Linked DNA regions of Cricetulus griseus. The protein of the gene in region 3 binds, or shares a complex with, the protein of the main gene of each other region. Links are inferred from orthologs where the notes say so. Each region holds a gene or a part of one and is shown on either strand. Other genes may lie near its edges.

Evidence for each region.
Region 1: the proteins of sodium leak channel non-selective protein (region 3) and Unc79 are in contact, whole or in part, in a cryo-EM structure (PDB 7SX3), measured with the Homo sapiens proteins. The link is inferred for Cricetulus griseus from reciprocal best matches to the Homo sapiens genes NALCN and UNC79. Residues at the interface, in NP_001337678.1 of Homo sapiens: Gln349, Met350, Phe351, His352, Glu353, Gly358, Trp359, Gln360, Leu361, Phe712, Ser713, Ile714, Arg717; in NP_001333147.1 of Homo sapiens: Cys861, Gln862, Ile865, Glu968, Pro969, Asp970, Phe1020, Gln1022, Pro2088, Asp2089, Ala2092, Pro2093, Leu2095, Leu2096, Met2099, Leu2139, Pro2141, Asn2142, Gly2143, Ile2144, Gln2147, Leu2148, Ser2151.
Region 2: the proteins of sodium leak channel non-selective protein (region 3) and Fam155a are in contact, whole or in part, in a cryo-EM structure (PDB 7CM3), measured with the Homo sapiens proteins. The link is inferred for Cricetulus griseus from reciprocal best matches to the Homo sapiens genes NALCN and NALF1. Residues at the interface, in NP_001337678.1 of Homo sapiens: Cys207, Val209, Asn220, Leu222, Ala223, Ile224, Pro225, Thr227, Tyr237, Pro240, Phe243, Tyr406, Glu409, Phe909, Ala1044, Lys1045, Asn1047, Pro1049, Arg1054, Ile1060, Arg1062, Ile1063, Asn1064, Val1065, Ser1066, Lys1069, Lys1080, Lys1081, Gly1083, Phe1084; in NP_001073865.1 of Homo sapiens: Lys278, Glu281, Phe282, Val285, His287, Lys288, Tyr289, Leu290, Gln291, Glu294, Tyr295, Ser296, Val297, Lys298, Ser299, Tyr308, Trp311, Leu312, Gln315, Leu335, Gln338, Thr339, Cys341, Phe343, Ile344, Leu345, Pro346, Asp347, Asn348, Asp349.

Annotation. Positions count from the first base shown.
Region 1 is NC_048598.1:103,081,986-103,087,614, reverse strand, and holds the start of Unc79 (protein unc-79 homolog), read left to right. Parts: upstream 1-2,082; 5' UTR 2,083-2,097; coding exon 2,098-2,185; intron 2,186-5,629. UniProt on the Homo sapiens protein: Auxiliary subunit of the NALCN sodium channel complex, a voltage-gated ion channel responsible for the resting Na(+) permeability that controls neuronal excitability.
Region 2 is NW_023276807.1:70,698,788-70,704,259, forward strand, and holds the start of Fam155a (transmembrane protein FAM155A), read left to right. Parts: upstream 1-1,925; coding exon 1,926-2,861; intron 2,862-5,472. UniProt on the Homo sapiens protein: Auxillary component of the NALCN sodium channel complex, a channel that regulates the resting membrane potential and controls neuronal excitability.
Region 3 is NW_023276807.1:273,144,189-273,149,180, forward strand, and holds part of sodium leak channel non-selective protein, read right to left. Parts: intron 4,347-4,992; coding exon 4,196-4,346; intron 2,475-4,195; coding exon 2,325-2,474; intron 23-2,324; coding exon 1-22. UniProt on the Homo sapiens protein: Voltage-gated ion channel responsible for the resting Na(+) permeability that controls neuronal excitability. NALCN channel functions as a multi-protein complex, which consists at least of NALCN, NALF1, UNC79 and UNC80.

The sequences.
Region 1 (5,629 bases), on a different chromosome or scaffold from region 3:
CTGTGTTATAGTGAAGATAAAAGTGTAGAAACCTGTAAAGTTGCTTATCTTGAGCTCTTGCTGTCTTAAACCTGCCTAGCCTGTTGTACTACAATCCTCTGCCAGCTCAGAAGCTAAATGAGACAAATGGGGAAAGTCAGACTGTGGGAGCCTGCAGGTGTCAAGGGACAAGCCTGCTGAGATTCACTGGTGCCTGTGCTCTGTGGTACCCAGTCCTAAATTCAACATGGACTCATGTGTTCCTGGGAAGGTCCACGGGGTCAGAGTCGATGCCCTTATTTCTAAGATTTCTTGATTGTGGTATTTCACTTGGTAAATGGCAATCCACATAATGTGTGAATCGAGACAATTTTAGTATTGATGATTTATGGTTTTGCTCTCCTGCCTATGCCTGCAGTGTGACCTTATCTTGATGTTTATTTATTGTGTTCTTCTTCTGCATAATGTAGCTTAGACGCTAGGATAAAGCTCACCAGTTCATTCTAGTGAATGGTTTAGAGAGCCCAAGCAGCCCAATTTCCCTCAGGGCTGTCTGCACAACCTGGGCCGTGAGGAACTTGGAGTGTGCAGTTCTTCAGCAAGAATTACTGAGGAGTGGTCCTGTCAGCTGATGTTTTGAGTGAGCTTCCTGTGAAGCTTCTTCTGTGAACTGACTGACTGCTCCATGGCTAGAGGCTCATTTTGGGTCCGGGTGGCCTATAGGAGTGAACACTAGTTGTTCAACTATGGGTGAATTGTGATTCGGGCAGTCACTACTCTCTCCAGATATGTTTCCTTGGGTAGAAAATACCCCAGGTGGACTTCTAGGTCCTTTTGGTGCTCTTAATCTGAAATTAGGCTTTTTTTTTGCCTAAGGCTAAAAAAGGCTCATTGAAAATAGCTGAGGTTTCTCTTAGACACAGCCCCATGGAATTCACACAAAAACATCTGTGAATTTCCCACTTGTTGGTCTGGGTTCAAAGGCAATGGACCTTGGCCCTTCAGGTTGAGTGTTGACCACATTGTCAGTTGACAGGCCAGTGGATATGGTATGTTAATTCTTATGACTATTAGAAATAATTTGAGGAATGCACATGATTCTGGAAGATGAATCAGGGCCAAAGCAGACCAGAGTCTGAGACTTCGCTATCTTAATGAACAAAGAGGTGATCCATCTTCATGTCAAGCCTTGGCTGAGGGCCTATATTTCAAGAGGTTCAGAAATATCACAATGTACATTGAATGTAATGGGTTTATTCTTCATACATTCTAAAGCTAAAGAGTTGTGGTTTGTTTTGAAGGTCCTCTATTTTTACTTCTCATGCAGGTAACAATGATAGTAATATTAATGACAATAAGTAATAGCTAATGTTTTTGGAGTACATGCTATGCTGAGCTCTGTATTTATTTCTTCTAAACTCCTATGAAGCCAGGTAGGTATTGTTATTACCCACATTTTAAAGCCTTGAGAGGTTATTTTGAGGAGAGTGAGCTTTCCTGACAATTAACAGCTAAAGGCACAGGGTTGTACAGGACCAGCTCAAATCTTTCTTTCTGTGAAGCACATCGAACCTGGAGTTTATAAACTCCCTTGCTGCCCAAGACTTCAGGTGTAACAGAAATATCCAGGCTTTAATTTCTAATACTGCCCTGGACTTTTCTGAAAATTCTAACACATCACTGTATTTCAGTTAACTTTTTGAAATGCAATGGAGCTAAAAAAAAATGGAGGGGTGTCAGCATTCGCTTGGAAAGTGCTTTGATTAATGGGATCAAGGGTCATCTGAATAGTGAGGCTTATAGATGACTGACACACTGATGAGAACTCATGGAACAGATTTATTTCTTAATGTATTCACCAACTAACTGCTATGCACATCCCACATTCTACTGAGCAGTACATCTCTGAACTCTTAGAAGGGGCAATAGCTGCTTTTATAATTTAAGCCAGCTTATTAAAAATTAAGATATGAAACTGGCATGTTTTGTTACTGGCACCATCTTCAGTGGCTGACTACTTAATTTTGTTTTGTAGATCTTGGACAGTCAATATTTTATACAACCACGTGTTTGCTACCCTTTCTCAGTGACGATGTTCTGAGCACTTTGCCCTACACGATGATCTCAACGCTAGCTACCTTTCCTCCATTTCTTCACAAGGACATTATTGAATACCTTAGCACATCTTTTCTACCAATGGCCATATGTAAGTTCAACCTCACCTAACCCTAAAACTATCTTTATGGAAACTGTGTTTACTCTGACAGGCGCTTGATTTTCAAGATTGTAACGGGATCACTTGTTCCGTCTACCTGCTATGATTTAAATTTTGTTGTTCCAGCATTTACGTTGAGTTGGAAGTCAATGATGTGAAAGAGGGTTATACCTTAGAATCAACATGTTGTTCACTCAGTTCGTCTCCACCAAATAGGAAGAATGTGTCAAGACGTTCTGTGTTGCCTGCTTATGAATTGTAATGTCTTTTTCCACATTAGAAAAGAAGGTGGACAGAGTGTTGTCTGGTGTGGAGACTGCTCTCTTCTGCCTGTGAGAGCATGGGGGGGCGGGGCGTGGATGGAGAGGGCAGCCGAGAGTAGGGAAAGGTAGACTCTGGCTCCAGCTCTGTCTCAGGTTGCTGTGGAAGTGTTGTGCCACTCATTTCGTGTGGTTGAAATTTCATTTCACGTGGTTGAAATCTAATATGATGCTGATGACTGAATCAGCTTTTCCTTCTTGGTATTTTGATGACAAAATGAGTCAAAATTTGCGACACACTTTGAAAAAAAGCTAAAGCTCATGACTCCAGTATAAGATACAGTCGCAAGCCTGGGACCGGTCTTGTCTATTTATTAATATTTTTGGAGACAGGGCCTCATCACTCCAGGTCAGCCTGGAACTTGATTGATTATGTAGTCATGAATGGCTTTGGATTCTTGATCCACTGTCTTGGACTCCTGAGTGCTGGGGTTATGGGTGTGTGTTACTGGACCTGACTTTTCTACTTTTATAGAAATAATTCGGCAGGGTCCTCAGACATGAAAACAATGAGAAGACAATGCTAAGTTGCAGCTTCTGTAATCACAGTCTCTAAAGTGTTCTTTATACATGGATTAACCTATGTTTTAGGGAATAATCTGAAAAAATTATGGCTTTAGACTTCAATCAGATCAAGATGCAGATCTCAGCTCTGCCACTGGCTAGCTATGCGAGCTCAGGCAGGTGATTTAAACCTTTGATTTTTATCTGCAAAATAGTAATCATAGTTTTCTTGTGAATAATCACAGCTCCTTCATGAATAGTAACCTGAGGTGTCTCACGAATAGTAATTGTGGCTGTATTTGAGGTGTCATGGGTTAGCATAATTAGTCTGGGATACTGATAAAGTGCCAGCCCAGAGCCTGCTGTGCAGTAGGTCTTATTTGCTTCTCTTTCTCTCTCCTTTTTTTTTTAAAGATAGGGTTTTCCTATGTACCCTGGTTGGTTCAGTATTATTCACTCATGGCTACCCTCCTGCCTCAGCCTCCTGAATACTGGGATTATAGGTGTGCACCACCATACCTGCTTTCCTTCTCTTGATTTTATTTTATTTTTTAAAATAGCTCCATTGGTCATGTCTAACTCTTAGTATCAATGCTAGCCACATTAAGTTATGTACTTATGCCCTTATTAAAGTTGCTGTGTTTCAACAACTGGCAAACACGTGTACCTTTTGGGCTATATTGGCTTACCTTGTAGGTGAGTTTAATTTAGGTATAGAACTGTAATTTTCATGTCTTTTAGGCAAAGAGCCACACTCTTTGCTAATACTATTTAAAAATATTCATCAAGTATTTAATGTTGCTAAAAACTAACATTTAGCAAGTAGTTAGATATGAAATATTTTCTAAGATATCCTAATTGTTTAACAACAGGGAGAAATGAGTAGACTGATGGTTGTCACTCCAAGTTGTAGAATACTTCATTTCACTGTCTGTTTCATCTGTGTGGTCTCATGAATCAGTGCTCACTGCTTATGGATATAGTCTTAGAATTTTTAGATCTTACTTTTAGGTAAATAAAGTTGACTGTTAAGTAAATGAACAGGCATATTTTTTAAAAAGATGAATAGCAGATGAGACTGTATCCTATTGATAACAATCTAGCTCACTGTGTCCCTTGTTCTTAGAATTAAATTAGTAATTTGTGGAGAGACATTACTGCAGTCAGTTTCTCACCACACTGAAGGTTGATCAGGTATTGTCAGCTTCTTTGTTTTTTTCAGAGCTGATGACTAATCAATTCTTCCTTAATTAGAAATAGAGATTTCCAGACATAAGCCTTGTCATGTTAAAAATCCTTTCTTTACACAGATATCTGAAGCAACTGAGTATTAAAAATGAGTGATGCTAATCTAAAAAAATATCGTGTGAATTTCAGTGTTTATTAGTGGAATGGCTTGATATTCACTTAAAGGTATGAACAAGTCATTTCATGTCTCTGAGATATAATTTTTCCAGCTTTAAAGAGGGGGTATTCAGAAAATAAGTTGAACCTCCCTGGTTATTTCTGGCTTAATAATGCTAGGTTGAATAACATCAAATGCTATTTGACATAATTGGTACATGCCTTTGTCTAACCCATTGGCAGACCTGGCTCAGGTCTATTTTGTTACTCTAGCTTTAGTCCGTTAGTTTGGGCTTGGCTTCTCAGCACCCTCCTGGTAGTTCAATAGGAGCCTGTCTTTTGTCATCTTTGTAATGAGTAGTAGCTGCATGCCAGCTGCTAGATTTCTGAGTTGTTTCTTCATACATAGACCTAAAGACAGAAGGGATGGACTTTCAGATTCCTGTTAGGATGGGCTGTGGTGAGGATGTGGGCCTTGTCATTTCATCCACAGTTTCTATTTTTTTTTTTTTTTGGTAATTGTTACAGTATCTAGAGCTTCACACTGAAACAGGATAGGGATGTTTAACTTGGTCCAGAATAGTTTTATTTCAGTACAAAGATGTTAGAATAAAAGATGTTGTGTTTTCTAAATGCTTGATAGTCTTTGTCAGAAGGACTTGCTGGGCATGAAGGTTCAGGTTTGTATTGCTAGCACTTGGGAGGATGAAGCAGGAGGATCACACTACAAGTTCAAGGTCAATGAGACCTTGTTACAAACAACAAAACAAAATTGACAGGAAGACTGTTTTAAAAATCTCCCTTTGAGAAGGATGCAGAGGTCATGAGGAAGCAGAAATTTTGAGTCAGGTGTAGATTAGAAGAAAGGACATATGACAGGTAGGATTTTAGTTGGGGGTGTGGTAGAGGAGGAATGGAGGGAGAAGGGAACTGGGATCGTCATGTAATTCAATCTTGTTTGTAATTCAAATATATAAAAATTTAAAAATGTCTCTCTTTGATATGGTATTCTTATAGGCAATGTAAAGCATGGATTTTGTTTTCAGTTTCTAAATGAGTGTCATTAATGATTACATAATTGCTGGTTATATAATTAGTGATCATATCATTGTCTGTATTACTTAGATGATTCGGTTTGGAGCTTTGAAGTGGATCCAATTCCTCAAACCAAGCATTGGATGTGTAGCATACCTACTGTTCATGCCAACTTTGTTTAGTGCCACACTAATTGCTTAATGCCTAAACTGCTTTTAAATAATAACTCATC
Region 2 (5,472 bases), about 200 Mb from region 3:
GGGGATGCAGGAGAGGTGAGAATGACATGTTGACCGTCAAGTGTGCAAACGCTGGCTGCCAGAGAGCTGGTTGGCATCCTCTCGTCTTGTGGTCTTGGCTCAGGTGAGGACCAAAGCAGGGTGCAAGAGCTGTCCAGACCTCAGAGTCTGATGTTTGCCCCTGCCATCCTCTGTAGGACCGGAAACCAGGCGACCCCAGGTTTTCCCTGCATGTGTCTGCCTTTCCTTTCTTGGAACTCCTAGAGTCAACACTAAGGGGCACCAGAGCCTTGGACTGCAGTGCCAGCCTGGAGGACGCTGCGGAAGTCCCGGCGCAGAGGAGCCCACCCAGTTGGCCTGGGCAGCAGGCACAGTATGCGGGTGCCCTAGGGTCCTCGGGGGTCCTCTGGAGAAATGAGGCTCCTCAAGCATAAAGCCGGTGGGGCGCACTGTACTGGAGGTGCTTCCCCAGGGCTGGAGAGCCCTTTTGTTGCTTCTTACTTTGGAGGAGGAAGCATGGTCAGACATGGAGTGTAGTGTGGTCATAGCTGCAGCGCACAGGCAGTGCTGAGGAACAGCACCATGCAGGCAGACACACAGACACGAGCACCCGGCGTCCTTTCCGACCCATAAAACCGATTTAGGACACACGCAAACGCGGCGGAGCTGTCTAGGGACCCGAAGAACGTTTAGGCTGAGCCTGCAAAGTCACCTCGTCACTCCTCTAGTCAACCTACTCTTTCTGTAGACTGTCTAGCGAGGGAAATTATGCCCAGCCCCTGGTCCCCAACAGGGACCTCTTAGTCGCCCTCCCGTGGCTTGGACTTGTCCCCTGGACTGCGGGGTAGGGAGAAGCTGGAGACCCTGGACAGCAGCGTTGGCCACTCAGCCTGCGTCCTGACTCCGAAATAAAAAGTGGGGAGGGTCGGCAAGCCCAGGGCAAGAGCCTCGGTGCCCAGGGCCCGGAGGGGGCGGCGGACAGCTGCTCTCCAAGCCGCCGCCCGGAGCGTCCTCGTCCTCCTCCCCGGGGCCGAGTCGCCGCCACTGCACCAGGATGGAGAGACCTCGGGGCGGGAGGAGATGACGCAAAATCCAGCTCTCCCCCCAAAAAAGTGTGCCTCCAGGACGAAGATGGCGGCAACTTAGCCCGGGGACTGAAGATGACTGTGGCCTCCGGAGGCCCAGCGCAGGCGACTCGGCTCCCGGCGGCGCCCGCGGGCAGACCTGCAGCGGCCGCGGCGACAGTCGGAGCGCGGGGTGGGGGTGGGGGGGAGGGACAGCTCCGCCGGCGGCCGCCCAGGCTCGGGGCGCGGGGAGAGCCAGCGCGAAGTAGGCGCGGGAGGCGGAGGAGAAGCCAGCGACGGAGAGGAAGGAGGAGGAAGAGGAGGAGAAGAGGAGGAGGAGAGGAGGAGGGGAGGCGCTCCGGTCGCCGTCAGTGGGCAGCGGAGACGCGGCATGCCCCTGGCAGGGGAGAGCGGGCTGTCCTCAGCTGGGCCATGGGGACCCGCGCGCTGACAATGCCAGGGTGACAGGAGCAGCGCCAGCCACCCCGCCACCTCCACCACCATCACCTCCCGCACTCAGCCTCCCCACCGGCCAGCACAGCACCAGCCTCCGCGTCTCTCTCTCAATCTCTCTCTCTCTCTCTCTCTCTCTCTCTCTCTCTTCTCTCTCTCTCTCTCTCTCTATTGTCTCCCACTCTCAAGGGGATGGGGTCGGCTGATGATTAGGTGGGCAGCAAGATCTTTCTCTAAAGTATGTTAATATTTATGTAGACAGAAAGAGAGAGAGAGAGAGAGAGAGAGAGAGAGAGAGAGAGAGAGAGAGAGAGAAGAAACGGGAGGAGGGGATACGGAAATTAAACCCTTTAAGTCAATGCATATTGTGGTGACACCGGCACAGGAGCCCTCACGGTGGAGTCGGCCAGGGCTGTGCGTTCCCAAAATATGACCAGGGGTGCTTGGATGTGTCGGCAGTATGACGACGGCTTAAAAATCTGGTTGGCAGCACCCCGGGAGAACGAGAAACCGTTCATCGATTCAGAGCGGGCTCAGAAATGGCGACTGTCTCTGGCTTCTCTCTTGTTTTTCACAGTCCTGCTCTCTGATCACTTGTGGTTCTGCGCCGAGGCCAAGCTGACCCGGACCCGGGACAAAGAGCATCACCAACAGCAGCAGCAACAGCAGCAGCAGCAGCAACAGCAACAGCAGCAGCAGCAGCAGCGACAGCAGCAGCGGCAGCGGCAGCAGCAGAGGCAGCGACAGCAGGAGCCCTCCTGGCCCGCGCTCCTGGCCAGCATGGGGGAGTCCTCGCCCGCCGCCCAGGCACACAGACTCCTCTCCGCCTCCTCGTCCCCCACCCTGCCCCCCTCCCCGGGAGGCGGTGGCGGCGGCAGCAAGGGCAACCGAGGCAAGAACAACCGGAGCAGGGCTCTTTTTCTAGGAAACTCTGCCAAGCCGGTGTGGCGCCTGGAGACTTGTTACCCTCAGGGCGCCTCCTCCGGCCAGTGCTTCACCGTGGAGAGCGCGGACTCGGTGTGCGCCAGGAACTGGAGTCGGGGGGCGGCCGCGGGGGAGGAGCAGTCGTCCAGGGGCTCTCGGCCGACTCCGTTGTGGAACTTGTCGGATTTTTACCTTTCGTTTTGTAATTCCTACACACTTTGGGAGTTGTTTTCTGGGCTGTCCAGTCCCAGCACTTTGAACTGCAGTTTGGACGTGGTGCTCACGGAGGGTGGTGAGATGACCACGTGTAGACAGTGCGTCGAAGCTTACCAAGACTACGACCACCACGCTCAGGAGAAGTACGAAGAGTTTGAAAGTGTGCTGCATAAGTACCTACAGTCAGATGAGTACTCCGTGAAGTCGTGCCCTGAGGACTGTAAGGTAGGAGCAGTGGGTTCCTTTCCCCTTCAATGCAGCTTTTTTTTTTTTTTTTGGTTTGTTTCATTCGTTTATCTGATTCGGGTTTTATAAGTTTAATCATTGTTTAATCTGGCTATAAGAACTTGACTTCCTGCTGGAGTTGCTGGTGGCCTGATGCCTTCCTTCGAGCGTCCTTGGAATATCAGGGAAGTCCATCTTTCAAGATAACCAAGCCAAGATTCTAGCTGCTGTTTCTTCAAGCTATGCCATTGGCTCAAACTCTGTTACTGCTTGTCGGGAAGATAGAGAGGGGACCAATGCACACAGGTAGTCAGCTGGCTGGAGACAGGCATGGAGAAGGCTGGTGGACCAGCATCACTTCTTCACTTCCCACACACTGAAGTTGATTGGCCTCAGGAACAAGATAAAGTGTAGCTCTTGATATAGGGAGAAAAAACAAAACAAAACAACACCACCAGCCAAGGGAACACATTTTATGGGTTTAATGGGGGGGGGGTAGCTCTTATTCCTCAGAAAGTCTAGGCCTGCTCTCCTTAAGCCTCCTGTTTTCTTAGTCATCTGTATAGTTATTGACATGAGTGGAAGGCTGTAATTAGCTCTCTACCAATTGATTCTCAATGTTAGGCTGGTGATCACACACCTTATGTAATTGCTTTGGTTTTTTTTTTTTTGTATACTCTGAAGAAATAGTACATTACAAATCTTTGGTCGAAATTCGTGGAAATAATTAATAGCTTGCGTTATAGTGAACAAGGCCTGTGTGTGACCTTGCTGATAAACAAAGGGAAAGTCTAGGCGAGTTTCTTGGAAACTGGAGTATGAGGCCCAGGGCTGCTGCTGTCCGTGGTTCTGAAATGGGGCTTGCTCAAGGAGGCCTAAATTTTGAAGGCTCTGCAGTGACCTTTAGCTAAGAAGAGACACCAGAGGTGTGGATGTTAGTTTACCAAAGAACTCAAGGAAGTTGTGTTGCTTTTCAAAAGAAATAAGACACTATAACTTTTCTTCCCTTTCCTACCTCCTGGACCCCATGTCCTCAGGGGCCTCCTTCCCTTGCCCTTAATGGAGGAGGGGTCAAGGATCATTAACATCAAAGGATCTGTAATTCTTTGACCCAGGGGTTACATTTTAAGTCAGAAGAGCTCAAGAGCCACACCTTACAGTCTAGCTAAACTTAAGATGACCTTGCTTATGGTTTTTCTTTCTTTTTCTTTTATTAAGATCAGAAACTTGGACTGGAATTCAAAACTGTCACTTTATCACATCAATCAAAATTTCATTTCAGTAGATAAGGCAATATTTAAGTTCTCCATGTGTGTTTTAAACATACCTTGGAATTCACTCCTAGGAAGAAAAATCAGCTTTAGAGATAGAACCTAACAATAAATGACTAATGCATACACTGCATTTTTATTTACCCTGATGGGATTGTCACAGAAAACATAAAGATAAGGAAATGATTGGTAGTTCTGTTACTAGTAAAAAGTGTGGCATAGATAATTTGCAGTTAACAGCAATGGCGAAAATTTGAATTTATACAATGCTGTGACTGTGAACCCTGTTGAACATGTCTTGTAATTTGAATTTCGTTAGCTCAGTACTGAAGAGAGAGTATGTGTTGTCAATGGACTGCAGCCATTCTCTACCTTAGTGGAACTGTCCAAACACATGAAGTATTTATTGTTGTCTTCATCTGAATTAACTCTCAACATGCAGTTTAGGTCTATAATAGAAAGATCTACTGTAATTATTTTATGATGTCAGGAGGCCCTCTAAGATTATATTTATATTTTTGGATAAAGTAGAATTTGTTAACACTATAAAAATCTTCACTCTTAAACAATTACTCTTCACATCGGAAAGTAAATATAGATGTTTTTATTTCTCAGTGCAACAGAATTAATTACTGGAGATGCCTCGACGTCTTGCATTCATTTGTTGGTGATAGAGATGTGGCAGTAGGATATACTAATTTTATAATAGATAGTTAAAAATATATGAATTGAAGTTTAAAGTGCTACTATACTTGGTTTAAGGTAAGTAAACAAACTGGTTATATGGAGAAAGTGATTGATGCATATTTCCTTAGTCTAATGAATAATCTTCCTGATTCTGAAAAAAGCCATATATATCTTCATACAAAGTATAAAAGACAGCTTAAAATGTTTGTTGAATTTGAAGGTTGGAACTGACTTCCTGAAAACATTTGCTTATTTCACCATAATTGCAATTACAAAATGACTACTGTCAGGGGCTTGCTTCAGATTCCTGGGAAAAAATTCCCCCTCCTTTTCTAAGCAGTTACAAAGCCAGGGATAGGCTAGAAGGACAGGCTATCTGAAAGATGTAAGCTAAAAGTAAATACACTGTGTCTCTGTAATTGCTAACAGGATACACATAAAATATGATTTTAGTGTTTTATAAATATACTTATTGTAGATAAGATCTATAGCATCCTGTTAGGATTATAAATTAGTGGTATTCATATTATAGGGGAAACTAATTAACTTCTTTAGCTGTTTTGCAGCAGTGATATCTAACTTTTTTCAGTTAAGATTTATTATTTAGTTTTATATTCTCTCTGCATTGGAAATCCGTTCCATAAAATACAGAT
Region 3 (4,992 bases):
AGAGTTGCTGCTGACTGCTTGTCTACATGGGAGAAGAGTTAGTCAGTTGTGGGTCTTTCTCTTTAAAAAAATCAATTTAATTTGTCACAAATATTTGTAAAGCTTTATAGGGTATAGTATGGTAATTATCACATGTTTATAACATACACTGATGAAATCAGTATAATTCCCACTTTTGGCTCCTCAAATATCTACCATTTCTGTGTTTTTGGAACCTGTGACTTTTCTGGTTGTTTTGAAATATACCAGAGACTACATGTGACAGTTATCTTCACTGTCAATTTGATGGCCCTGGGGAAGCCCAAACTGATGACTACCTGGTGCTGAGGACTTGTAGGCATGTTGCCTCCATTTCTAACTCACCTGATACCTTGCTCTTTCCTAACCACTGTCATCTTCTTTTTGTTAGATTTACTTTACCTATCTGTCTGTCTGTCTGTCTGTCTGTCTGTCCGTCCCTCTCTCTCTCTCTCTCTCTCTCTCTCTCTCTCTCTCTCTCTCTCTGTGTGTGTGTGTGTATCTGCAAAACTGAATGACATACATGTACAGGTACCCATAGGGGTGAGGAGGGGGCATTGGATGCCTTGGAGCTAGAGTGATGGGTGTTCTTGAGCTGTCAGATGTGGGTATAGCAAACTGTCCTTGGGTCATCTGGAATGACAGCTGCCCCTCCAGCCCCTTACGGTCTTGGTTTTTCACAATACTTTAAACCCTTAAACACCAACCCCCACTTCGACTTTTGGATACCTTTGTGAGAGCTCTGAAATAATTACTTCCCCTTTATTGGTCCTGTCTCAAGTGTCTGTCTCAACCTGATCTGGCTCCTCCTCATAAAGCATTGCCAGATGTCTCTGGGTCAGACCTGCAGCAGGGCCACTGACTCCTCCTATAGAGTCTGTGAAGAAGTAGGAGAGTGATTCCTGGTTTCTTGTAGAGAATCATGAAACTCACACAAAACTGTACCAGAACATAACAGGTCCATTTGGAGCCTCTTCTGGGCCATGGAGCCTTATGCTCCAATTTGTCCCTATGTTGCTGAGCATCATGGGCTCATCGAAACTGGAGGCACTGCACAGTGTGCTGGATGGATTCCAGGTGATTAGCATCAAATCATTGCAGCCACATAAAGGTGTGGGGTCTCCCTGACAGCTGCTTCTCATAGCACAAGGCTCTCTGGCTTTTGTGGTTGTTGTTTTGTTTCTGAATACACATGTAGAAAAACTTTGAAAATGAAATTAGCTGTGTTTTAGTAGACAGAAGCTACTCAAATATTTTTTTCTTAATTCTATATGCTCCTCTGCTGCCCAAATAAGAAAGGATAAATCTCCAAATGCATTTGATTATTGAAGAAGATTGAAAGCCAAGTGCATGTATTTTGCTCATTTTACTGAAAATTTCCATGGTGTGCTGAGGGGAAGAAAATATTTATGGCAAAGCTTCATTTAAATCATAATCATTTAAAGCACATATTTCTATGCTCAAGCTTAGCTGTTATGACAAAAAGAAACAAGTAATTAACACTCAGGATGTTAACTGCTTTTAGTATATGTTTTCTGTAGTTTGGATCTTGAATGGCCTATAAGTTGATGGTTTGTTTCTCCAGCCTAAGATACTAATGGGAGGTGGTAAAATGTTTAGGATGTAAAGCCTAGTGGGAGAAAGTTGAGTTATTATGGGGGTGGGGTGGGGGCTGTCCTTGAGGAATTTGGAGTTCCATCCCCTTCCTCTCTCTCATGCTCCCTGGACACCACATTTCCCCACACACTGTCATCATGGTGTACTACTTTACTATAGTCCTATATAGTGAGTCAGCCACCCCTGGACTGAAACATCTCAAACGGAGAGCCAAGAAAGCCTTCCCTGCTTCTAAGTTGATTATCTCAGGTATTTTGTTTATTAACAGAAAGTTCACTAACACACCATACAAATCACAATTTTACCAAAACAAAAAACAAAGCAAAACCCTCAACTGGATTCTAAGTGATAAAAATATCTGGATGTACATGTTCTCATTATTTTTGGTTCTTTTGCAACGAAAGGTCGCCTTAAAAATGCTGTCACTTGGCCGGGAATTGGTGGCACACGCCTTTAATCCCAGCACTTGGGAGGCAGAGGCAGGCGAATCTCTGTGAGTTCGAGGCCAGCCTAGTCTCCAGAACAAGTGCCAGGATAGGCTCCAAAGCTACATAGAGAAACCCTGTCTCGAAAAACCAAAAAAAAAAAAAAAAAAAAAAAAAAAAAAAAAATGCTGTCACTTTGAAATGTCTGTGGCCAGAATCAACTGCCACAGAAGATCCTTGGATGAAGGGTACCTCATCTCCTACCTCAGGTTGCGTATTGTGGTCCTGGCTGTTGGCATTAGTGTCCTCGCTTGGCTGGGTGGTCTCGATGCTGGGAGGGTTCAGGAATCGACTCAGCTCTTGCTGCTGGCTCTCCCTCAGGCTGTGGATGATGCTGCATGACTGCTGCTGTTTCTGCAGGAAGATGCTGTGCTTTCATAAGGAGGAAAGGTAGGTGCCTGGCTTCTTTGCCCCACTCCCACCCATCACAGTGTTTTCTACCCTCTCTGAAGACCCATGGATTTGCTGCCCTTTTAGTAAGTTCCAAGTAAGAATCTCAAACTAGTTTTGAGACTGCTAGATTGACATATGAGCCCTGTAGATTAGAGGCATCTCCCACCTTTTATATTTGTAGAACAATTGGACTTGTTATGCTCATCTCTGCTAGTTTATATGTCATTTAAAATCACTAATGTGTTTTATTTTCCCTTCTTATTTAATTCTATCCTTATTTAACCAATACCAGCCTCCTTCCCCCACTTTCCTGAAAGTTGTAAGCACCAGAGAGTCTTTAGTAGATGAGGAGGAAATTCGTACTTCTGTCTTGGTTCTGGACTTTATAGGGCAGCCTGGTAGGCCAATTCAGCAGTAGCTTTTTTTTTCCCTGGCCATGGCTTCTCTCGTAGGGTCTGAGCAGGACATTTGTAATCCATATAATCAGCAGAGCTATAGTGGCCTTGCTATGATTGGGTTGCAGTCGGCAGCTGGCCTTGCTCTAGAAGGTTGGGTTAGAGTGTTTATTTTCTTAGAGTTAATTTTCCTCTAACAGAAGTGCATGTTTCTGTGGTGGGTGTTGTTCTGAAGGACAGGATCAAACAAATCTTACATAACATTAATTGCATTGTAAAAAGCATTTACTGACTGTTTTGCCTTTCTTCTCTGTATGTGAAGTATAAGTCAAAAGCATTCATAAACATTAATTGCCCAATAGAAGTACTCATTAGAAACACAGTATATTCTAATGGAGTATACAGTCACTAACAAGTGAGAGTCTCATACAAACTTACAGTTGAGGAGGCAGCAGGCACATCATTAAAATTCCATAAGAGATGGTCTTCAGAGACCAGGCAACATGATAAACCATATGTTGGAACTTTCTGCAGCAATTTAAAAGTAGTTTTGCAGATTTTATCCCAGTAGATATTTTGGGATTTTCTACAGTTGAGTTTAATAAATGGAGATCATAAATATTTTAATATCCATAAATTGCTTTTTAAACCTTCATGCTATACAAATTTGATTCAGTTGAGATGTGTGGTGGAGCCTGCTGAGGGGAATGAGCCTGAAGCTGGAGTGGAGTTAAGGCTGTAGCAGCACCAGACACCCTGAGTGGATGAAGATGGTGCACTTTTAGGGGTATCAGGCCAGTTGTTGGAGGGTTGTTCTGTTGAGGACATTCTTATCTTTTGCCCTTCTTGTTCTGAGTGTGTGTGTGTGTGTGTGTGTGTGTGTCGGTGTTAATTGTCAACTGGATGGAAGCCAGAATCGTTTGAGAGATGGGTTTCTGGGCATGCTTGTGGGCGATTATCTTGATTACTGGTGTGGGAAGACTTACCATAACTGTGAGTGGGACCTTTCTATGAGAAAGGGATCCCAGACTATACAAAATGTGGATAGTGGGCTGAATACTGGCATATATCCATTCCCTCCATTTCCTGATCCTCGATGTGATGTGATTACATAACACATGTCATGTGATTAAACTCCTACCATCTTGACTTCCCCTGTATAATGGACAGTACCCTTGAACTGTGAGCCAGGATAAGCCTTTCTCATTTAAGCTGCTTTTGCCAGAGTACTTTATCACAGCAACAGGAAAGGAAAGCCACCAGCCCTGGTGCTCGTGGTTCACTCACAGCCCTGATGCGTTTCAAGCACTTCTTCAGCCACATGCGAATGGTCTGCTTAGCCACCTCCTCCTCTATTGTATACTCCAGCTGCTCCCTTGCCAGCAGCTCCTCCAGCTGCAGACTCTTCCTGATGTCCACAGAGCGGTAGGAGAGCATGCTAGAATACAGGAACAGCAGCGACACTGGTTAGAGTCCTCTGGTGTTTAGAGCCTCTGGTGTTCAAAATGCAGAGAACACATCTTTCCAGACACTCAGTGTAACATTTGATGCCATCTGTAATTGGATGAGGGGCTGGTTGTGTCACCTCTGTGGCTCCTTTCTCTTGTGTGAATGCTGAGGATGGTCTTGGCACCTATCTCATTGAATAATCTGGCAAGCTAATATCTATGAGATACTTCGAACAGTGAATGTATCTAAGTGCCTATGCTGAAGAAGACTCTGACAGCTCTAGCTGTCAAGTACATACTCTAGAATGTTCTCTGCAGAAAGAAGATTATTCCTTCCACTGTTTCTTTGTGGTTAGCTCTAATTACAGATGGTTGATATCCTTGCTTGTGAGTTGTGTGTGCCCCACTGCACTTCCCTGTCTATTTCATTTATCACTCTGTGTCTTCTTTATTAATTTCAGAAGACACAAAGCTAAAGCTGACTAATCACAACTCTCATTTAGACCTTGGCTCAACAGGTCCAGACCATGGTAAGTAAAACTAACATTTTTGTGCGGAGGGGCAGTTAGATAATTCCTAGCAGGGACTGACCAAAGGGGAATATAGACCTATCTTGTAGTACTATACACTTGAGTG